Sus scrofa: one gene and its partners. Each later gene encodes a partner of the first gene's protein in a complex. Links are inferred from orthologs where the notes say so. Each region holds a gene or a part of one and is shown in the gene's direction. Other genes may lie near its edges.

Region 1 (4,476 bases):
GAAAGGAACTGTCTCGCTCTGCAACCAGGCCCAGCTTCTTTGCACACTGACCTGGGTCTAGGCCCAGGAAAGACATTTGCTCAATGTATGATCTTGGACCAACTCCATCTCATCTTAGGGCCTCAATTTCCTCACCTATAAAAGGAGAATGCTAGACTAGATCAGATTTTGAAATATTTTTAGCAGTTAAAAAATATATAAGAATAAACAAAAAGAAAAAAAAATGTAACAGCTCTGGCAGAAGGGGAGTTGGGGGCCAAAAGTTTCTATTTACTGACAGAAACCATAACCACATCCCATAAAATCTAATATGTAAAATACGTGCAGCAAAACTGCATGACTGTGTGTGTATGTGGAGGTCTAGAACTGTACTGAATTTATAAGGAGACTTAATTGTGAGCCAGACCATGTGCCTGACACTGGGGTTAAAATGATGTGCAACGCAGATGTGGTCTACATTTTCGTAATGCCTGCAGTTTAGAGGGAGAGACTAATATTGACCCGATAATTTGCAAATAATTAGGAAACTAGATTCAAATGTTACCATGGAGAAGTTCAAGGAGATTTGAGAATCCAGAACTACTGCAGCTGGATTTGGCTTCAGGTCTGTCTCAAGCCTAATGCAAGCTTCTCTGAGCTCTGGGCAAGTTCCTTCCTTTCTCTGGACCTGAGTTCACTCATTTGTAAAATGGTGACATACCATCTACTCCTGAGGGTGTTACCCTTCTCTCAGGGTTAGGTCTGGACATTATCATCTCATGGTGCCTTCCTTGGCTCTCCACCTGTTCCACGTGGCCCTGCTTGGGCTTGCATTCCTCATGTTGTAAGTTTCCCACCTAAGATCTGAGCTTGTCAAGGCTGGAGATTTTGTTTTGATATCTGCATCCCAGTGCATTCTCTTGTCTGGCTCACAGCAGGTGCTAACAAATGTTTGTTGAATGACTGTGTGGCCAATGGAGCACATCCAAAGGGCGAGTGTCAATATCATCATGGAACCAGACATGACAGGCTGCTAGATGATTGTCTCATCTGAGGTCATGGGCTGGGATGAGGGTTACACAGGCTGCAAAGCCTTAAGTCCTCAGCTGGAGTTCCAGCTCTGCTGATTATGTGCTGTGTGTTCTTGGGCAAGTTACTGGGCCTAATTTAGCCACATCTTTATCTGTATTAGGAGTTACAGTATCTTACAGGGTAGTAGAGTTTTGGGGACATAAAACGCCACTCACAGCCAACTTAATTTAAGTAAAGAGAGGTGGCGAGGAGAAGCAGAGGACAGTTGCACAGAGGATGCTCAGCACTGCTTCCCCAGGGGAGGAAAGGCTTGGAGGTCAGCAAACTGCCTAGTGAACACAAGCTTAAGATCTAAACCTGTTTTTTCATCTCCAACACCGAGGTGGAACTTGGGCTCTGCATAAGGGTATGTGTTTGGCTGCCATCACCAATGGCAGTACGGTAAAGGGCAGGATTCGGCCCGGGTTTTGTGCAGCACCCCTCTCTTCCCACCCAGGGAGGAAGCGCTCTCCGCGGGGACACAAACCCTGGGACACAGCCGGAAGTGGGTGGGCGGAGCCTCCCCGGCAGCTGCGAAGGGCACGGCCAAGAGCCAGTGGGAGGTGAAGGCGTTCCCGCCGCGGCCAATGGAGCGCCGACCGAGGCGGACCTGGGCCAACCGCCTGGTAACGGCCGCGTGGTTACTGGGCACCCGGTGTGAGCTCTCAAGGCTCCGCGGGTGTTCGCGCTCAGGTGTGCAGGATGAAGATCGAGGAGGTGAAGAGCACGACCAAGACGCAGCGCATTGCCTCCCACAGCCACGTGAAGGGGCTAGGGCTAGACGAGAATGGTCTGGCCAAGCAGGCGGCCTCGGGGCTCGTGGGCCAGGAGAACGCGCGTGAGGTGTGGCAGTGGGCTGGGGGCGGGGGCGCTGAGGCGGGGGCTGAAGGGCTGAGTTGGGCGCTGAGGTGGACACTGAGGCGGGGCCGAGGGGCTGAGGCGGGCCCGGAGGGCGGGCCGAGGCGGGGGCGTCCCCAGGCAGGACGGTCCTGGCGGCCTTGTCTCTGGCCGGCGAGTCTTGAGCGACCCTGCCCTGCGCGGTCGGCGCGGCCAGGGGATGAGCGGGGAGGAGACGGGCCAGGTCCCTGTACTCCGGGGGCTTGCATTTCGGATGACAAACGTTGACGCCGGGGAGCAGAAGGACCGTTAGACGTAGGTGGGCTCCGAGGGCCCTGGCACGGGTCGGGATTTGTGCGGTCAGAGGGAAGCTCTGGGGGCTTCAGAGTCGGGAAGGGATCGGGCTGAGAGCGCGGGAGTTCCAGGGCCCGCGATCCGCTCTCCCGCCCCGCCAGCCTCCTTTCTGACCATTCCGTTAAGTCCGCTGTTAGTAAATGATGAAGGTGCCGAGTCGGCTCTCCTGCGTTATACTCACGAAACTGTTCAGCGTGGGAGCGGGCACGTCACCAATCCACTTGCCGCCCAGTTTAGCGATGGTAACGCTGGAGTTTATACCCGTGTGTTCTGACTCCTGAGCCCGCGCCCCCTGAGCTGGTACAGCCCCCAATAAGTAGTCTCTGCTCTCACGGCAGCCCCATGCCCTTGGCCTCTGCCGTGGCTTAGCAGCTATAAAATTGGAGTTTAAGACTGGTTCCTTCTGGCCTCATTGTGCTAATAGCAAAGGCCAAAGAGAAGCCTCTGGTTACTTTTTTGAACATCCTCTGCCAAGAGAGGATATAGCAATAGGGTCAAGGTGACTGAAAATTCTCTTTATCCAGCTTCTGCTCACTGAAGACCTGTCACTGTAAATAACTGACATTGTCCAGTGCTTTCTACCTGCCAAGCACTGTACTTAGCAGCTCCTTTTCCATTGTCTAATTGTCACCTCCATTCTAATAAGTGTCTCTCCTCCATTTTATTATGACTTTTCAGACATACAAAGAAGTTGAAAGATTCGTTTAGTGCATACCTGTGTGCCTAAGTTCTACAAGTAACATTTTACTCTGTTGCTTTATCTTATATCTGCTCCTTTATCCATCTAGCAATCTGCTTTTGCATTTCAAAATAAATTGTAGACATTAGTATACTTTACCATAAACCTGTTGGCATTTGTGCCACTATATTGTGAACTCTTTTCAGATGTGGAAGTTGTTTCACAGAGTTTACGTTATAGATTTGAGGTCATTCAACTGGTAATTGGTAGAGCCAGGATTTTTTTTTTTTTTTTTTTTTTTTTTTTTGGTCTTTTTGCCACTTCTAGGGCTGCTTCTGGAGGTTCCCAGGCTAGGGGTCTAATCGGAGCTGTAGCCGCTGGCCTACACCAGAGCCACAGCAATGCAGGATCCGAGCCACGTCTGCAACCTATACCACAGCTCACTGCAATGTCAGATACTTAACCCACTGAGCAAGGGCAGGGATCGAACCCGCAACCTTATGGTTCCTAGTTGGATTCGTTAACCACTGAGCCACGATGGGAACTCCCAGAGCCAGGATTTAAACTCAAGTCCATCTGATTCCAGAATCCATGGTCTTAACGCTGATGCTCTGTGCTTCCATGTGAGTATGATCTTCCCAAAGGTAGAGATTGGGTAGTATTATATATCCAGAACCTGACTTATTATAGGGACTGAGTGTTTATTTATTGAATTATTAGTTGTCCCATCTCTGCTACCAGGTCCTTGTTAGAGTCTGGTCACCTCAGAAACCTCTCTAGTGTTTAATGAAAAAAATTAGGTCGTCTTTTAAAGACCCTTCTGGTTTATACCTTCTATTATTATTATTATTTTTTTTTTTGTCTTTTTTTGTTATTTCTTGGGCTGCTCCCGCAGCATATGGAGGTTCCCAGGCTAGGGGTCGAATCGGAGCTGTAGCCACCGGCCTACTCCAGAGCCACAGCAACTCAGGATCCGAGCCTCGTCTGCAAACTACACCACAGCTCACGGCAACGCCGGATCTGTAACCCACTGAGCAAGGGCAGGGATCGAACCCGCAACCTCATGGTTCCTAGTTGGATTCGTTAACCACTGCGCCACGACGGGAACTCCTGGTTTATACTTTTAAAATTTTAGAATTCATTGGACATATCACTGGAGAGAAGGAGCCTAAACTGAGGATAGTTAAATGGAAGAGGTTCTAGTGTGTGAATAAGAGTACACAGATAAGGTTTGGAAAGTCTCTTCTACGTCTTTTGAATTGCTCAGAGAATTCCAATACTGAGGAGTATGATATTAGAGATTACTATGGAAAGGTCATGGTGGCTCTTTCATCTTTTCTTTCTTTCTTTTTGTGGGTTTTTTCTTTTTTCTTTTTGTCTTTTTAGGGCCACACTGACTGACAGCATATGGAAGTTCCCAGGCTAGGGGTTGAATTGGAGCTGCAGCCGCCAGGCTACACCACAGCCACAGCCACAGCCACACCAGATCCGAGCCACTTCTGTGACCTACATCATAGCTCACGGCAACACCAGATCCTTAACCCATTGAGTGAGGC
Region 2 (4,445 bases), on another chromosome or scaffold:
GCTGTCACCCAGTTCAGCATTTTTTCAGTAGTATTTCTCTATCTCCCAAGTAGATTCTGCAACCTCTCCCATAAGCACCCAAAGAAGGTTCTGGCAATCAACTAATACTTGATAGGTCCATATTCACTTATCAAATAGAGTAATTTTCAGTAAGGCTTTGCTTGGCCATCCGATGTAAAATTTCATAGGCCTCCTCTACACACACTTATCTCCCTTTCTCGAGTACCTTTATTTTTTCTCTTCAGCACTTCACTGACATACCTGAACTTTATCTTCTGCCTCTACCACTAACACAAAAGCGCCAAGAAGGAAGGGATGTTTTCCTGCATTGCTGCTTCTCTTCCAGTGCCTAGAGAATGCCTAGAAATAGCCTATCTTGGAATAAAAAACAGGTTCAGGATTTAAAAAAAAAAAAAAAAAAAGAGGCAAAAAGTGTGCAAAAAATATTATGCAGGGTTCTCATTGCCAGGAAAAGTATCTGGTGCCAAACTGGCCCACAGAGATTTACTGGCTAGACGAAGGCAAGATCGTTCTCAAAAGCTAGCTAGTCTATCATATGGATAAACTGTTAAAACAGACTCTCAGGCCCGTGCCCATGAATTCTTACTCCACAAACGAGGTGGAATCCCCGAATCACAAGATATTGAGGCAGGCTACTGAACGGCCAAGCGGAAAGGAGCACCGAGTTTAGGAGATGATGGGGTTGAGCTGCGAAAAATGCTCAAGACTTTCAACACAGATTAGTATGTATTGAGCGCCTGCTAGATACCTGGGAAAGCGGTTCCCAAGGGAGTGAAGCGCTGTCTCCGCCCTCCGGAGACTTTCAGAGTGGCACCCCTGGGCGCCCGCGTTCCCGGCTCCCTCCCACCTGAGAGCTCCTCTGCGCCGCAGGTCTCCCAGGCTCCGCCCCTGGAGACTCACCGCCCACCGAGCGCCCAGCCCGCGCGCCTCGGCCTCCCTCACCCGCGGGCCCCGCAGACGCCGCAGCAGCGCGTCCTCGTCGTCCAACACATCGCCGAAGACCAGCTCCTCCAGGCACTGCTCCACGGCCGGCTTGTCCTCCTCCAGCCTCAAGCGATTCCGCTGCCGGAGCCGTCTCTCCTCCTCCGCCGCGATTGCTATCGCAGCGGCCGCTGCTCCCGGCGGGGCCGGCGGTTGCCGCTGGGATGAAGCAGCAGCCTTTCGGGGCGGCCCAGCCCGCCCCAGTCCAGCTCTCCGGCCCGGCTTCACTTGGGTCTTCCGGCCCGGTCTCACTCCGGGTGTCCTGTCCGGTCTCGCTCGGCCCCTCCGTTCCGGCGGCATCCTTGGGTTTGAGAAGGAACGCGGGCGCTCACGTGGAACCTCACTGCGCATGCGCCGAGGCCCCTCGCTTTCCGCTGCTGCTGGGGCTGCCGGAGGCCGGAAAGAGCCTGCAACGCCTGTGAGCACGTGACCAACACTCTCTCGCTCTACGTAACGCCCACTCCCCGCAAGAGCTCCTCCCCGTGTGGGAGTTCCTCCGGGAGGACCAATCTTCCGAGTAGAGGGGGAAGCGTCGTAACTGGAGTGGGAATTTTCTTCCAACACAACTTCGCAGCTACAAGTGATTGAAAGGAACGCAAGAATGCTAGGGTATAAACTGAGGTGACGGGATGAAATTTCTCCTTTCCTTCCTGACTTTTAACCACTTGACTTACACGAGCCCCAATTGCCTTTTCCACCCCTTCGTCTTGGTACGGCCCGTGGAGTACGGAGCCTGCAGAGGGTCCCATGCTGGAAGACTGAGAGGAGGGTATGTAGGGAAGTGGGCCAATCGGGGCGCGGGTCACGGCGCAGGCGCGCTAGGGAGGGAGGGCTATGCTAATGTTGTTGATATCCTGGGGCCACCCGAGTTAAAGGGGGGAAATCCGGGGGCTGCCGCAGCTGCCACCGGTCTGGGCCCATCCGGGGCCCCCCCTGTAGTCGCCATAGTTCTGGGCAGAGGCGTCTGCCCCCAGCTCGGGAGGGGGCGCCGCGGGCCTGGGGAGCACGGACAACCCCTACCCATGAGGCCCTGATGGAAAACACAAAGGATCTGGTGAGAGCCGAGCGCGGCAGCTGCTTTGTGTGCCAGGTGGGGGGGACGCCCGCAGCTCCCCAACCTCAGGAACCCCTGCAGCTCCCTGACCCTGCTCCCTGGCCTGCTTCTCCATCCCACGCCCCCTTCACCTCCGGAGTCCCCCTCCCCCCTGCCGGCCGTTAAACGATGCGGGGAGAGGGGGTTTCCCCTCCCCCCACCCGCTCAGCCCCGGACTGTTCGGGGTTCTCTCTCTCCCCCCCCCCTCCTCCGCTTTCTGGACGAGAAATTTTAGAAGAAAGTTATTCTTTGCGTCCCGCCCCCCTCCTCCTTCAGCTCTGGCTGCGAGGGGGGCAGACTGGATTTGAGAGTTCCTTTTTTGGCCGCTCAGGGTCGCAGAGTGGACGCCTCACCTCTCCCAGGGGGGCAGAGTTTCGGTGCTTTGCAGGGGAAGGCGCTCTCCGCTGTGGGGCGAGTGCTGCGAGGCGTTTCGCACGTGGAGGTGGAAAAATTGAAAGGGGGCGGGGTGGGCACGTGTGGGAGGGAGAGGTGGGAGTGGTGTTTGGGAAGCTGCCGACGAGGCAGCCTATTTACAAGGGTCCTAAGTCGGAGGGCTTTATGACCGTCGCGTTCCCTTTTGTGAAATGAGAATCCTAACATTTCAGAGTCGGAAGAGACAGTAGAGGTCACCCAAGGCAGCCGGCCCCCGTGCAGCCTCTCTGAAAAGTGGTAGGTAGCCTGGCCTCTGCCCCAACCCTTACAGACGCGCTCGCTGCTTCCCAGGAAAGCCCTTTCCGTTCACTTCTGATTGTTGCTGGCCTGCCCTTATGAGACTCATTAATGTCCCTGTTAAGTGGATTCCGTTTTTACTTCTCATATTTTCTCTCACATCCTCCTCACCCACCCACCGTTCACTGGCCTATATTTTGTGTGCCAGGAAAGCAACAGCAGGGAAGTGAAGGAAGGCGGGCTGGAGAGAGAGTGAGGGCTGTCTGAAGACTTGTCTAGATGAGGTCAAATGAGCTGGCTTCGATGTGTGAGCATGGTTGATATTTTTCTACAGGAAGCTTGAGAAATATGATCTGGGGATTTCATGGTTGTTTTCTCTAAGTTGGACATTTCAAGACCATCTCCGTAGTACTCCTGTTTCAAAGCACATGTCTTGTTGCCTCAATCACTTAAGAATGCCTAAAATTGCCTCTTGGTAGAGAGGAGAACGGAAGTACTGCAGGCCCCCTCCCCACCTCCCTTTGACCTGTGTGCTTCAATCAAGCTTCCTTCTCAGCGCCCTCCTTTCACAGTACTTTCGTTTATTTCTTTTTTTCCCTCCAGTTTTTTATGATATTTGAGTTTTTTGCAACTCTTTAACATTTGCGTAGAGTTTGCAATATTTTTTATGCTCCTTGCATTAACCTGTTCCAGGGATTATCACTCAGAAGTTGAGATAGTTCAGTTCTACTTTTGTCACTTAGCATTTTTTTGATGTTCTTCATTTGGTGAGCTATGTTGCTTCCAAAGTAGTTTTATTGGCATAGGAATCTTGGGGGCACATGTTTTCCTCTTCCTAATATGGTTAAGTGAGAGTGAAGACATAACAGATAAAATGTCGAAGTAATGAATTGGTTGTAAAAGCCAGAGAGTAAATTTCACTTTGAACTCCCAGTCTGCTGTTTAAAATGTTAGAGCACAGAAATTTTTGTCTCTCCCCCTTTTTATGACTCGGAGACTGTTTCTCTGCTCTAATGTATTTACACTGGGTTTTTTTGTTTGTTTATTTACTTCAACACCAGTGAGTGTTGAGAAAGAAAATAGTTGTCCGTTTTTGCACCACCTCCTTCTCTGAATAACAAGAACTTCTATTTATGTAGAAGCCCATACTCCAAGGTTCTGGTGCACAGTATGGCAAAAACTGTCTTGAATAAGTATCTGTTCTTAAATATCTGATATTGGACCATATCTTTTAACTGTCCAATTTTTAACTTCATATACACTTTGACATGTGATATTTTCTCTAAATCTAGTCACTAAGATTTAACCTGAGACTGAATACTAGGTACTGATAAAAGTTAATGGAACTGTGTAATTGTGTCCTGAAAGTGTTAATTAATGTGGAGTTTCAAGTTCCTATTCCCTTCAAACGTGAACTGTCATGATTTAAGTTGAGTGACTTTGGAGACATTTGCATTCCAAACATACTAGACAGGAATGACTGGTTTTATTTTTAAAGAAGACACTACATTGTATTTTCATGGCTGGTTATATGTTGACTTAATTCCTGTAAAAACCTTCTTGGTTGTTCAGAGGCTTCAAACCCTTCGTTACCTTGGAATTTAAATTGTTTTAAATGTAACACAATAGTCAAAGGAAGGTAAAACTATAGCTTAGAAGTGAAAACAACATATTAATGTCA
Region 3 (3,832 bases), on another chromosome or scaffold:
GAATCAGAGCTGCAGCTGCTGGCCTACACCACAGCCCTGGCAACGCAAGATCCAATCCTCATCTGCGACCTATACCACAGCTCACAGCAGTGCCGGATCCTTAACCCACTGAGTGAGGCCAGGGACCAAACGCACATCCTCATGGGTACTAGTTGGATTCTTAACCCTCTGAGCCACAACAGGAACTCCCTCATTTAGGTTTTTTTTTTTTTCTTAGCAGCCTTCAATTCAGCATTTATAAAGATCTGAAATGTCATGTTTTGATTTCTAGGCAATGCATATAATCAAGAGGAACGTGTCGTTTGTGCTGGTTATGACAACGGAGATATCAAACTATTTGATCTCAGAAATATGTCATTACGGTGGGAGACAAATATAAAAAACGGGGTAATGTACCTTTGGATTCTTTTCAGTTTCTCTGAACATGTTTTTACCCACCTCTGAACTATATTACAAAAGCAGGAGTTCCTGTGGTGGCACAGTGAGTTAATAATCTGGCTTGTCTCTGTGGAGGCTCGGGTTCTATCCCTAGCCCAGCGCAGTGGGTTAAGGATCCAGCATTGCTGCGGCTGTGGGTGTAGGTCGAAGCTCCAGTTGATTCGACCCCTGGCCTGGGAGCTTCCATATGTTGAAGGTATGGCTGAAAAAGAAAAAAAAAATAACCAAAGGAAAGCAACTCTAATAACTCATCTAAGTACAACCCATCTGTTGATAGTTCTTATCCTTTGGGGGCTGTAGAGTCCTTTGAGGATCCAGTAAAAATCAGGAATCTTTGGAGTTCCTGTTGTGGTTCAGCAGTAACGAACCTGAATAGTATCCATGAGGATGCTTAGTGGGTTAAGTATCCAGCATTGCCACGAGCTGTGGTATAGGTTGCAGACACAACTCGGATTCTGTGTTGCTGTGGCTGTGGCGCAAGCTGGCAGCTGCAGCTCAGATTCAGCCCCTAGCCTGGGAACTGAGAACTTGCATACACCTAATGTTCAACCCTAAAAAGCAAAAAAAAAAAAAAAAAAAAAAAATCAGAGATCCTCTCTTTAGCAAATTAACACACACCCTCATGTGATATGACAGTGCCAGGTAGATCACAGCCCCTATGGCTCATCTGTGGACCCTGTGGGCCACGCAGTGTGGTATTATGTTTTGGGGGGGCTAATTTAAATTTTTTTCTTTTTTCTCCTTTTAATTTTTTCCAGTGTGGTATTAAAATGAGCTAGAGGAGGCCTTTTTCTGATATTATTAGGAAGTCTGAAATGTAATAGACTCCCAAGTACTATTAGATTTTTGGTTCCTGAGTTGTACATCTTGAGTGAAGCATGTGGTTCCCTCTTGTTCTCTCTAGTCAACCTTTGTTCAGCTTTATAAAAGAATTAAATAACAGTGGTAAAAAGTTATGGCTTTCTAGATGTACTCTAGCTGGTTCTATGAATCTTATTAACCAAGAAGAAATTTTTGTAGTTACAAGTATTTGATATATTGACTCAAAAGATAAAAATGATTATTTAAAATGCTTTCTATGAATCTTATTAACCAAGAAGAAATTTTTGTAGTTACAAGTATTTGATATATTGACTCAAAAGATAAAAATGGTTATTTAAAATGCTTTTTATTTTCTATTTTTTATTTTTTTAATTTTTTTGGCCTTTTTTCTAGGGCTGCTTCCCTCAGCATATGGAGGTTCCCAGGCTAGGAACTGAATCAGAGCTGCAGCTGCTGACCTGCACCACAGCTCACAGAACACCAGATCCTTGACCCACTGAGCGAGGCCAGGGTTTGAACCTGCATTCTCATGGATATTAGTCAGGTTCATTTCTGCTGAGGCACAGCAGGATCTCCCTGAGCCACTAATTTTAAAAAATTGTTTTACTTAGTTTGAAAGAACCTCTTGAATAATAATCATGAGACCATTAATAATAAATATTCTCCGTTTCCAGGTATGTAGCTTGGAGTTTGACAGAAAAGACATAAGTATGAATAAATTAGTAGCTACATCTCTGGAAGGAAAGTTTCATGTTTTTGACATGAGAACACAGCATCCAACCAAAGGTTTTGCTTCCGTTTCAGAAAAGGTAAATATGAGGGGAGTGTGTTCTATGCAGAGGAATGTTCATGGCTTGTTTTAGACTAAGAAATAGAATGAGTCACCAAGTTCCTTCCAGGTTTTTCCATGAAGGGAGCTATTTTTAATAAATCTTGTAGAATCTTGACACGTTTTTCTGTGCAAAGAGCACTTTCCCAAAGTTTTTCAACTTTAGACTTGGTGATTATCATAAAGGCCTCAGTTGGCTCTGATTCTCATTTTGTACTTAAGAAGCAATCACAAAAAAAGTAGCTGATTTAGGAATTTGATCAACTAAACCAAGCTTGGTGTTTCCTAATAAATATATCATATTTGTATTAATACCTAATTATATACTTTTAGGTAAATGCTTGTATATACCTTTGCTTAATACTAATTATATATCTTTTAAACTATATCAACATATATGCATTATGTCATTTCATCACATTTCGTTTTATATTCCAGTTTGATATATAAAATGAAATTATTTAAAGTGCTAATCACTGTGGTACATAGTTTTACTCAAAATTTATTCATTTATTCATACATGTATATGTACATACTTTGCCTTGTTCTAAATAGTAGTTGAGGAAGCTTAGAGGGAAACAGGATATTGCAATATTAGAAAATGTGATGAAGAAAGTGGCGCAAATGGAAAACACTGGTATAAAAAAATGAAATTGATATATAAAGCAGTGGGATTGCATGCAATTCATGCTGAAACAGCCCATCCTCTGCAAGAGATAGGTTGGAAATGTGACTCTGAGCTTCCTTGAGAAGAAAAATGAAAAACCAGTTACGGATTTGTAGTTTCTGTAGTTTCCGTAAGATTAACATAAGTAAGTTGCTCAGGAAATAAAAATTCACTCCCTTGCTCCCTTTCCTCTATCATGGAGTCAGTAGTACTTCTCAAACCTTCCTGTTCTTTTTTCTTTGATTATTAAAATGATTATTATTGCACATAAATGACTGTCACTGTCTGATTAAACTCTTAGGATAACTAACTATACACTGTTCTATTGTTTTGCCTTTGTCATTTTGGAATATATTAAGTATCTATCAACAACACAAAGCACTTACTAAATTATTCCAAATACAGTTGCAACTCATTTGTCAGTATCTGAAAATTGCCATGTGTCTCCAAAATTTTTTGGTTACATTTATCCAGTAATTGCTAAATCCAGGAATTGCTAAATCTGTCAGGTAAATGACTGGTGCATTTTAACGGGTCATTTCCTCTCTTGTTTTTTTTTTTTTTTTTTTTTTTCCATTAGCTTCCAGGAGAAAAAGATAGGTTTAAACTACAAAACAAATTAAGGTTTAACAGCTTGAACCTATTCACTTGAGAGTCTCACAGACTTCAGGTGTGGATTTTGAGATATGCATTTTTCTTTGCTAATGATAATTGTCTTAAAAGACTATTAAAATCAAATGTCAGGACTGATCATTAGCTAAAATGCAGAGTGTCTTATGCATAGCTTAGATCAAGTTAGCTAGTCTCACTGCTTCTGCAAAGCAGAAATCTTTTCTCCCCTGTCACTCTCCCTCCCTCTCTCCTACTCCCTGCAGGTCCCCCCAAATAGAATCTAGCACTATTAGGATTGATTCACTGGCTGTTGTTAAGGTGCTAAAAGCTGTTAACCTTCATCCAGTTGCCATTTTGATCTTTTCATCCAACGTGACTGATAAGTCCTCCTGATCCTTATTTTGAAACAAGTCAAGTCAGTGGTGTAAATTGATTAGACTGGAAGCTTTACATTAAAGTTCATT
Region 4 (3,832 bases), on another chromosome or scaffold:
TAAATACTATCAGTATTTTAAACCGTGGTCAAAGGCAATTTTTTTTTTTTTTTTTTTTTTTTTTTTTTGTCTTTTTAGGGCTGCACCCACAGCATACAGAGGTTCCTGGGCTAAGGGTCGAATTGGAGCTGCATCTGCCAGCCTACACCACAGCCACAGCAATACCAGATTTGAGCCAGGTCTGCAACCTACACCACAGCTCTCAGCAATGCCAAGATCCTTAAGTGGGATCCTTAACCCACTGAGCAAAGCCAGGGATCAAACCTGTGTCTTCATGGATATTAGATTCGTTTCTCCTGAGCCACAATGGGAGGTCCTCCTCTGCATTTTTTAGAGTCTAACGCAGGGTTTAGTAAACTACAACCTGTTGGCTGAAACTGGCCCTTTACTGAAAAAGTTTGCCAACTCCTAGTCGAAAGGAAGGAAATCTAAAGTTAAACCTTCCCGAGCCATCTGTAACATTTTATTGGTACTTTATATGTTGCCTTGTATTAAAACTTTGTTTTATAATTATGTCCTGTCCTCTACTAGTCTGCAAGATCCCATGAAGATAGAGACTAAACCATATCCTTTTGTACCCCAGCACTTAACACTGTGCTACAGGTACAAGGCAGTCAATTAATGTTGGAAGGGGTGGTCCTGGAGCTGAAGGCCATCAGCTCGGAAAGCTTTTTGCCTGAGGAAGGTGAAAGGCTGAGTTGGGAAGGAGAGTGGGGCAGCCCTTCTAAAGAAACTGATTCTGGCCTTCCTCAGCAGTAATGAATCTGACTAGCATCCATGATTGATTAAGGCCATCAGTCCCTAGCCTCCCTCAGTGGGTTAAGGATCCAGCTTTGCCATGAACTGTGGAGTAGGTCACAGATGTGGCTCAAATCTGGCATTGCTATGGCTATGGTATAGGCCAGCAGCTGTAGCTCCAATTCAACCCCTAGCCTGGGAACTTCCATATGCCGCAGGTACAGCCCTAAAAAGACCAAAAAAGAAAGGGAGGGAGGGAGGAAAGGGAAGGAAAGAAAGAAATAGTTCTGTTCCTCCTGGAGGGGTATTAATGACTCCGATGCCGATGAGAACCTTTTTTCCCTATGCCTTCAGGAATCAGGAGATGATGAGTATCAAGGGGACCAGTCAGACACAGAGGATGAGGTGGACTCTGATTTTGACATCGACGAAGGAGATGAACCATCCAGTGATGGAGAAACAGAAGAGCCAAGAAGGAAGCGCCGAGTAGTCACCAAAGCGTATAAGGTGAAGGGGGGGGTCCTAGTTTTCTTGGGCTTCCTTAATTCCTGTTCTCTCTTTCATCAGGTCTCAAGATCCTCACACCAGTCCCATTTTCTTCAGTGCTGGTTTTCTCTTCCTTTTACCTGTTTCTTCTCTTCCCTGGTGTCTGATTCCATTCTGTCCCCAGGAGCCTCTTAAGAGCTTGAGGCCTCGAAAGGTCAGCACCCCAGCTGGTAGCTCTCAGAAGACCCGAGAAGAGAAAGCATTGCTTCCACTAGAACTACAGGATGATGGCTCTGACAGTGAGTGCGGATGTTTGGGTCAATTGACAAAATTGAAATATGATAAAGTATTGTATTACTGTTAAATTTCCTGAAGTTGATAACTGAATTATGTTTATGTAAGGAAATTTTTTGTTCTTAGAAAATATACACTGAGTATTTAGGGGAATAGAGCCATGATATGTACACTTAACTCTCAGATTATTCAGAAAACACACACACACAAAATGCAAATAGGGCAAAATGTTAACAGGTGATCTGGTAAAGAACACATGGATTTACTTTGTACTGTTCTTGCAACTTTTTTCTAAGTTTAAGATGATTTCCAAATAAAAATTTTAAATTTAAAAAAAAATACAAAGGAGGTGGACATGAGTTCAAAGGTTTCTTCCTCTCTTGACTTCCTTCCCAGGTCGGAAGTCCATGCGTCAGTCTACAGCTGAGCATACAAGACAGACATTCCTTCGAGTACAAGAGCGGCAGGGTCAGTCACGGCGGCGAAAGGGGCCCCACTGTGAGCGGCCACTGACCCAGGAGGAGCTGCTCAGGGAGGCTAAGATCACAGAAGAGCTCAACTTACGTTCACTGGGTCAGTCTATGGTTTTGAGAACAGTGGGTAGAAGGGCTGAGAAGCATGAGATAAACTGAGACCTGGAAGATCCAATGAACCAGAAAGATGGCAATTTGGGACAAGGTAATCGGAGGAAAGAAATGGGGAGAGGAAGTTATGAGGAGCAAGGACAAGGAACTAGGCAGTTACGAGGGCACTAAAGGACAAGTTATACTGAAGTACTTTGGTGTAATATAAGACTTATATAAGGAGTTCCCTGGTTAAGGGTCTGGTATCACTGCTGTGGCTTGAGTTTGATCCCTGGCCCAGGAACTTCCATATGCCACAGGCATGGCAAAAAAAAAAAAAAAAAAATTGTGTAGAACTCAATTCAAATTGTAATTCTGCTGTTCCCTACCTGTAAGACCATAGGCAAATTACTTACAGCCTACTTTTATCTTTCTTTCCTTGTTCACAAAATGGGGTGGTAATGCCTACTTTAATGATCATAAGAATTAGAAATTCAGAGGTAGTTCATGAGATATATTACTTTAAAGTAAAAATTCTTTAAAATTTCTTTAGCTTATATGCTATCGGGTACATAGTCGTATATGGTAATATATTGTACAAAACCATACATTTCTCTAAAGTATGGTGAGAATTCTAGGGTCAGGAAAGGTACGTGAGAAATTGAGGGCACAGCAGACTTCACATCTCCCATCACGTGCTCACTCTGAAGGATACTTTAACTGAGTTAAGTAACAGGTGGAATCTCCTACAGTATTTAGTTTGTTATTTCTCTATTGCTCTCTCTTTTTTTGACCAAGCATAAATAATTGAACATGTATAACCCAAATGCAGTTTCACTGTGGAGTGGAAGATTGTTTACCCAGAATATCTAGGACCCATTCTATTTCAGTTTAATGATAGTTATGAGATTTAGATATCTTAACTCCAAAAGACCTCAGTTATTGAGAAAAGATTTAGTACACTTCCAACATTTTCAGGACATATTTTTTTTCTGTCTTTTTTTAGGGCCGCACCTGCAGCATATGGAGGTTCCCAGGCCTACGCCACAGCCACAGCCACAACAATGCAGGATCCGAGCCACGTCTGCGACCTATATCACAGTTCGTGGCAATGCTGGATCCTTAACCCGCTGAGCAAAGCCAGGCATCAAACCTGCATCCTCATGGATCCTAGTCAAATTCATTTCTGCTGAGCCACGACGAGAACTTCAGGATGTATTCTCACAACATTTTTTCTTTCATTATGTTGGCTTTAAAATGGGAAATATCTCTCTGTATAATTGCATTTCAGTGCTTTAAAACAGTAGTTATCTCTCAAAACATAAATGATGGAGAACCATCACAAATACTGAGGTCACCTGATATCATTGTAATTACAGTCTGCATCCTTCGACCACATTGATTGTTTCAGGGCACTGTAAAGAGAGCGATTCCCAAGCTTCTGACATTATAACTTGACATAGGAGATCCTGGAGAGGCATGTTTGATAGGGAAAAAAAATAATAAATTACTTTTTTATTTTTTTATTTTATTTTACTTTTTGCTTTTTAGGGCTGTACCTGAGGCATATGGAAGTTCCCAGGCTAGGGGTCATTTCGGAGCTACAGCTGCCGGCCTACACCGCAGCCACAGCAATACGGGATCTGAGCTGTGTCTGCGACCTACACCACAGCTCACGGCAACGCCAGATCCTTGACCTAGTGAGTGAGGCCAGGGATCGAACCTGTGCCCTCATGGATACTCGTTGGATC
Region 5 (3,456 bases), on another chromosome or scaffold:
CTTACCTCCCTGTTCGAGAGTAATTCAGCCTGTAGGGTCCAAACTGCCTCAAGTTCAAGTCAAAGTGCTGGAAAAGGGAATAGCGGAGAAAAAAAGAAAGAAAAAAATTGGGTCCCTTCAGTAATATTTTCTTCTAGCCCCACTTCCATCCTGCTCTGCACCCCAGTCAGCCCGCTGGATCCTTTTACACCCTCAGGCTCACCTTGGCTGCACTTGCAATATCCACAGCCTCTGCGATGTCAGCCTGGCGTATCCTTGCTGTGTCCTCCCCATCCTCACCTTCCAGAAACCTGCCAGTGAATGTCAGGGTTGCATTCAGCTTTCCGATGTGAAGTCAGTGTATCAACATAAAAGTGAGAAATGAGAGCCTCATAAACCAGGAGCTGGGGAGGCCCACATTACGGTCCACTTACCCAGGTTCCTCAGCCAGCAGCAGCTCAGAACGAGCAGCTTTGACGCTTATTTCCTCTTCCTCAGCTTCAGCAGCATCAAGCCGGCTTTGGGCTTTGGACTTGGAACGGGGCAGCTACAATCATTGGTGGGAGAGGAATGGGCGAGTATGGGGGTTACAGGAGAGCCACCTGACCGCGCCTCCATCCAGCTCACCCAGACACTCCCTGCCTGCAACTCCTCCCCACTCTCCGACCGGTTCTCACCTTTTTGGATTTGTCGATGCGACGGAACTTTCGAACTACCTCCACAGGGACAGGGGCGGGGCCTGCAAACGGGTCCTGGGCCTGGGACAGGAATGGGGCAATTAGTAAACAGGCTCGGGTTGATCCCAACTCTCGTACCCTCAAAGCACGAGGAGACTTGCCTCGCCACCGTATAAGGTCCCAGGCTCACCCCAGACAAGCTCCGCTGAGGGCCTGGACTCCTCCATTCTTGGGATTTCTTTGGGACCTGGGGCTTCTTGGGGAACCGAGACTTCTTTTGGATGGGAGCGTTCTTTGGCTTCTGAGGGCGGGCCTCTCGATTCTTCTTCTGTTTACGAGGGGGACCCGGAGAGGCTCCGGCAGCTGTCGGAGCGGTCTCTTCCTCCCAGTATCGCCGAGGTTTCTGCTGGCAGATCAGGACCCCTGATATTCCGCTGCCTCCTCCCCGCCCCTCCAACCCCTCAGCCAAAAACTTTCCTTTCAACCCAAGGAGGTCTCTACCTTTCTCTTGGCCTGAAGTCTGTCCTTCTTGGGCGGGACATCACTGCCAGGCTTGGGGGCTGTCTCCATCAAGCCCACCCGAACCGCGACACACGTGCAAACTCCTCTCAGCTGTCCCACAGTCGGATTGAAAACTCCCGGAAGTCTTCCGGCCCTCATCCAATCAGCTCCGCCCCAGGTTCGAAGCCCTCGAGGCGCCATCTTGGGTGAGGGCGCTCTCTCCAGTGAGGTGGGGGGCAGACCTTGGCCCCGCCCCCGTGAGGCAGTTTATGCTTGAGTAATGAAAGAGAGGTGGTCCGGAGCCAGGACTCAAGTTGACTGTGCAGTTCCTTTTTCCAGCTTCGTTTCCGCATGTTGCCTAGAACGTTCCGAGTCCAGCCTTTTAGAAAAACGCCACTCGTCTAACAAGTGAGAACTACAGTTCCCGGCATGCGTCAGACGAGAGCTTCCGGCGCCGTCTCTTCCCAGCATTCTCTGTTTACTTCCGGGTTCACCAACACTGAAAGAAGAACGTGAGTAGATAGAGCAGGCGTTCGGTTGAGGGCTCTGGGGTCTCTTTTCCCCCGCTGCCGCCTAGAGCAGGGGTGGAGTCGATATCTCGGACGGGGGGAGACTGCGGTGCCCCGAGGGGCTGCTTCTCAAGAGGGCTGTCATTTCCGCAGGCCGGAAAGGGGAGCTCGGGTACCTTCCAGAGTGTGCAACCCAGCGCCCCTCTCCCTCTTCCCGCGGAGTTTCGTCCTCGCCATGGCTGAGCTGATCCAGAAGAAGCTACAGGGAGAAGTGGAGAAATATCAACAGCTACAGAAGGGTAGGGGAACGGGGTTGTCCCGGTTCTCTCACTACCCGAAGCCTTACAAGATGCGTCCTGCCCCTCTCCATCCCACCCGTGCCCCTTCCCCACCTCCATGGTGTTCCCGTCCTTGTCGCTCCATTTCTCACCAGGACGGTAGGGATTGGGTGGCATATCTGATGTCTTTAATCAAGTCTTCCCTCCCACCCGCCAGACTTGAGTAAGTCCATGTCAGGGAGGCAGAAACTAGAAGCACAACTAACAGAAAATAATATCGTGAAGGAGGTGAGAGCACAGGATTTGTGGGGCGAGGAGGGAACTTGTCCTGGCAATGTTTCTGATCACAGATGTCCTGCCCCTCCATCAGGAACTGGCCCTGCTGGATGGATCCAACGTGGTCTTTAAACTTCTGGGTCCCGTGCTGGTCAAACAGGAGCTGGGAGAGGCTCGAGCCACAGTGGGGAAAAGGCTGGACTACATCACAGCTGAAATGTGAGTCTTTGTTCCAGCACCTTCTGACAGACATGCCACGGTGGAAGACGTGTTGAGAAAGCCTTGTAGAGTAGCTTCCAGAGCTGTTCCCACCACCACCACCACCCAGTTCCTCCAGCCGCTTTCCTTTTAACCCCTCTTCTCCTCCCTCCCTTGGATCTCACGTTCCCCACCAATCTCCTTCCTGCCTTCAGCATCCTCAGCAGTAAGTCTCATTAAGACCTCACCGTTTTTGGTGTTCTGTCTTCCTCAGTAAGCGATACGAATCCCAACTCCGGGAACTGGAGCGCCAGTCAGAGCAACAGAGGGAGACCCTGGCTCAGCTGCAGCAGGAGTTCCAGCGGGCCCAGGCAGCCAAGGCAGGGGCTCCTGGGAAGGCCTGACCCTGTGGAGGGGGGAGGGAGGGGGTGGGAATGAGGCAGCTCAAGGGTCTCTACTGTAGTGAATAAAATGTGAAAACACCTGGCTGTTTTCTCACCAGCCACTTCTGTTGTAATCATCTCCACCTTTTCCCCTGGTCCCTTCTCCCCTTATATGTTTATCGCTTCTGTGACTCCCTCAGGTCCAGACTCTTGCAACTGGGCACTCTGAGGCCGAGTAAGCCTTCTTTATTGAGACTGAAATATGAAATATCTCAAATCTCATTTTTCCTGTATATGCAGCCCTTAGGTCTCCATTATCCTGGTTGGAAACATGAGAAGGGCATTTGCAATGCAGTGGTTTTGGGTAAAGTGAGTTTAATTGAACTCAGAATTTTCTAAGCTGTGACCCCAGAATGAAACATGGGGACCCTCCCTGCTGATTTCCCATCATCTTCAAAATAGCCCTGGCATCCCTCTAATTCGTTTTAGTCTTTTTTTCTTAGAATTTGCTTGAATGTAGCTTAAACTGATTTAAAATCTCAACACCTAACGCTCTGATATCATACGTCCTCCATGTTTATACGTTGTCCACAATGTTGTTCTTCCGTTTCTTTGTCCTCAAATTGTTTCTTACACATTCACAGGTGTGGGGGTT

Evidence for each region.
Region 2: RUVBL1 (region 1) and MBTD1 share a complex: the UniProt entries of both Homo sapiens proteins name them as parts of the nuA4 histone acetyltransferase complex. The link is inferred for Sus scrofa from reciprocal best matches to the Homo sapiens genes RUVBL1 and MBTD1.
Region 3: RUVBL1 (region 1) and WDR92 share a complex: the UniProt entries of both Homo sapiens proteins name them as parts of the PAQosome complex. The link is inferred for Sus scrofa from reciprocal best matches to the Homo sapiens genes RUVBL1 and DNAAF10.
Region 4: the proteins of RUVBL1 (region 1) and VPS72 are in contact, whole or in part, in a cryo-EM structure (PDB 9CA9), measured with the Homo sapiens proteins. The link is inferred for Sus scrofa from reciprocal best matches to the Homo sapiens genes RUVBL1 and VPS72. Residues at the interface, in NP_003698.1 of Homo sapiens: Thr136, Leu138, Pro140, Glu142, Met147, Tyr150, Gly151, Lys152, Thr153, Ile154, Ser155, His156, Val157, Asp173, Pro174, Phe177, Glu178, Gln181, Ala187, Gly188, Arg205, Thr208, Tyr209, Ala210, Thr211, Glu212, Phe213; in NP_005988.1 of Homo sapiens: Ile212, His215, Arg263, Thr264, Phe265, Ile266, Thr267, Phe268, Ser269, Asp271, Phe274, Trp277, Phe278, Gln280, Gly281, Arg282, Pro283, Pro284, Lys285, Val286, Pro287, Arg289, Glu290, Ala299, Leu300, Tyr301, Arg302, Pro309.
Region 5: RUVBL1 (region 1) and PFDN6 share a complex: the UniProt entries of both Homo sapiens proteins name them as parts of the PAQosome complex. The link is inferred for Sus scrofa from reciprocal best matches to the Homo sapiens genes RUVBL1 and PFDN6.

The regions. Positions count from the first base shown.
Region 1 is NC_010455.5:72,198,815-72,203,290, forward strand, and holds the start of RUVBL1 (ruvB-like 1), read left to right. Parts: upstream 1-1,566; 5' UTR 1,567-1,752; coding exon 1,753-1,893; intron 1,894-4,476. UniProt on the Homo sapiens protein: Possesses single-stranded DNA-stimulated ATPase and ATP-dependent DNA helicase (3' to 5') activity; hexamerization is thought to be critical for ATP hydrolysis and adjacent subunits in the ring-like structure contribute to the ATPase activity.
Region 2 is NC_010454.4:27,523,489-27,527,933, reverse strand, and holds the start of MBTD1 (MBT domain-containing protein 1), read left to right. Parts: upstream 1-1,633; 5' UTR 1,634-1,771; exon of another isoform or gene 1,772-2,092; intron 2,093-2,700; 5' UTR 2,701-2,764; intron 2,765-2,773; exon of another isoform or gene 2,774-4,445. Other genes in the region: UTP18 (U3 small nucleolar RNA-associated protein 18 homolog), read right to left, coding at 964-1,353. UniProt on the Homo sapiens protein: Chromatin reader component of the NuA4 histone acetyltransferase complex, a multiprotein complex involved in transcriptional activation of select genes principally by acetylation of nucleosomal histones H4 and H2A.
Region 3 is NC_010445.4:74,101,804-74,105,635, forward strand, and holds part of WDR92 (WD repeat-containing protein 92), read left to right. Parts: intron 1-271; coding exon 272-387; intron 388-1,934; coding exon 1,935-2,069; intron 2,070-3,832. UniProt on the Homo sapiens protein: Key assembly factor specifically required for the stability of axonemal dynein heavy chains in cytoplasm.
Region 4 is NC_010446.5:98,065,087-98,068,918, forward strand, and holds part of VPS72 (vacuolar protein sorting-associated protein 72 homolog), read left to right. Parts: intron 1-1,092; coding exon 1,093-1,245; intron 1,246-1,408; coding exon 1,409-1,523; intron 1,524-1,914; coding exon 1,915-2,091; exon of another isoform or gene 2,092-2,196; intron 2,197-3,832. UniProt on the Homo sapiens protein: Deposition-and-exchange histone chaperone specific for H2AZ1, specifically chaperones H2AZ1 and deposits it into nucleosomes.
Region 5 is NC_010449.5:29,652,023-29,655,478, forward strand, and holds PFDN6 (prefoldin subunit 6), read left to right. Parts: upstream 1-1,669; intron 1,670-1,676; exon of another isoform or gene 1,677-1,819; coding exon of another isoform or gene 1,820-1,901; coding exon 1,902-1,965; intron 1,966-2,161; coding exon 2,162-2,232; intron 2,233-2,314; coding exon 2,315-2,439; intron 2,440-2,692; coding exon 2,693-2,822; 3' UTR 2,823-2,923; downstream 2,924-3,456. Other genes in the region: WDR46 (WD repeat-containing protein 46), read right to left, coding at 6-67, 203-290, 414-526, 657-737, 847-1,062, 1,158-1,358. UniProt on the Homo sapiens protein: Binds specifically to cytosolic chaperonin (c-CPN) and transfers target proteins to it. Binds to nascent polypeptide chain and promotes folding in an environment in which there are many competing pathways for nonnative proteins.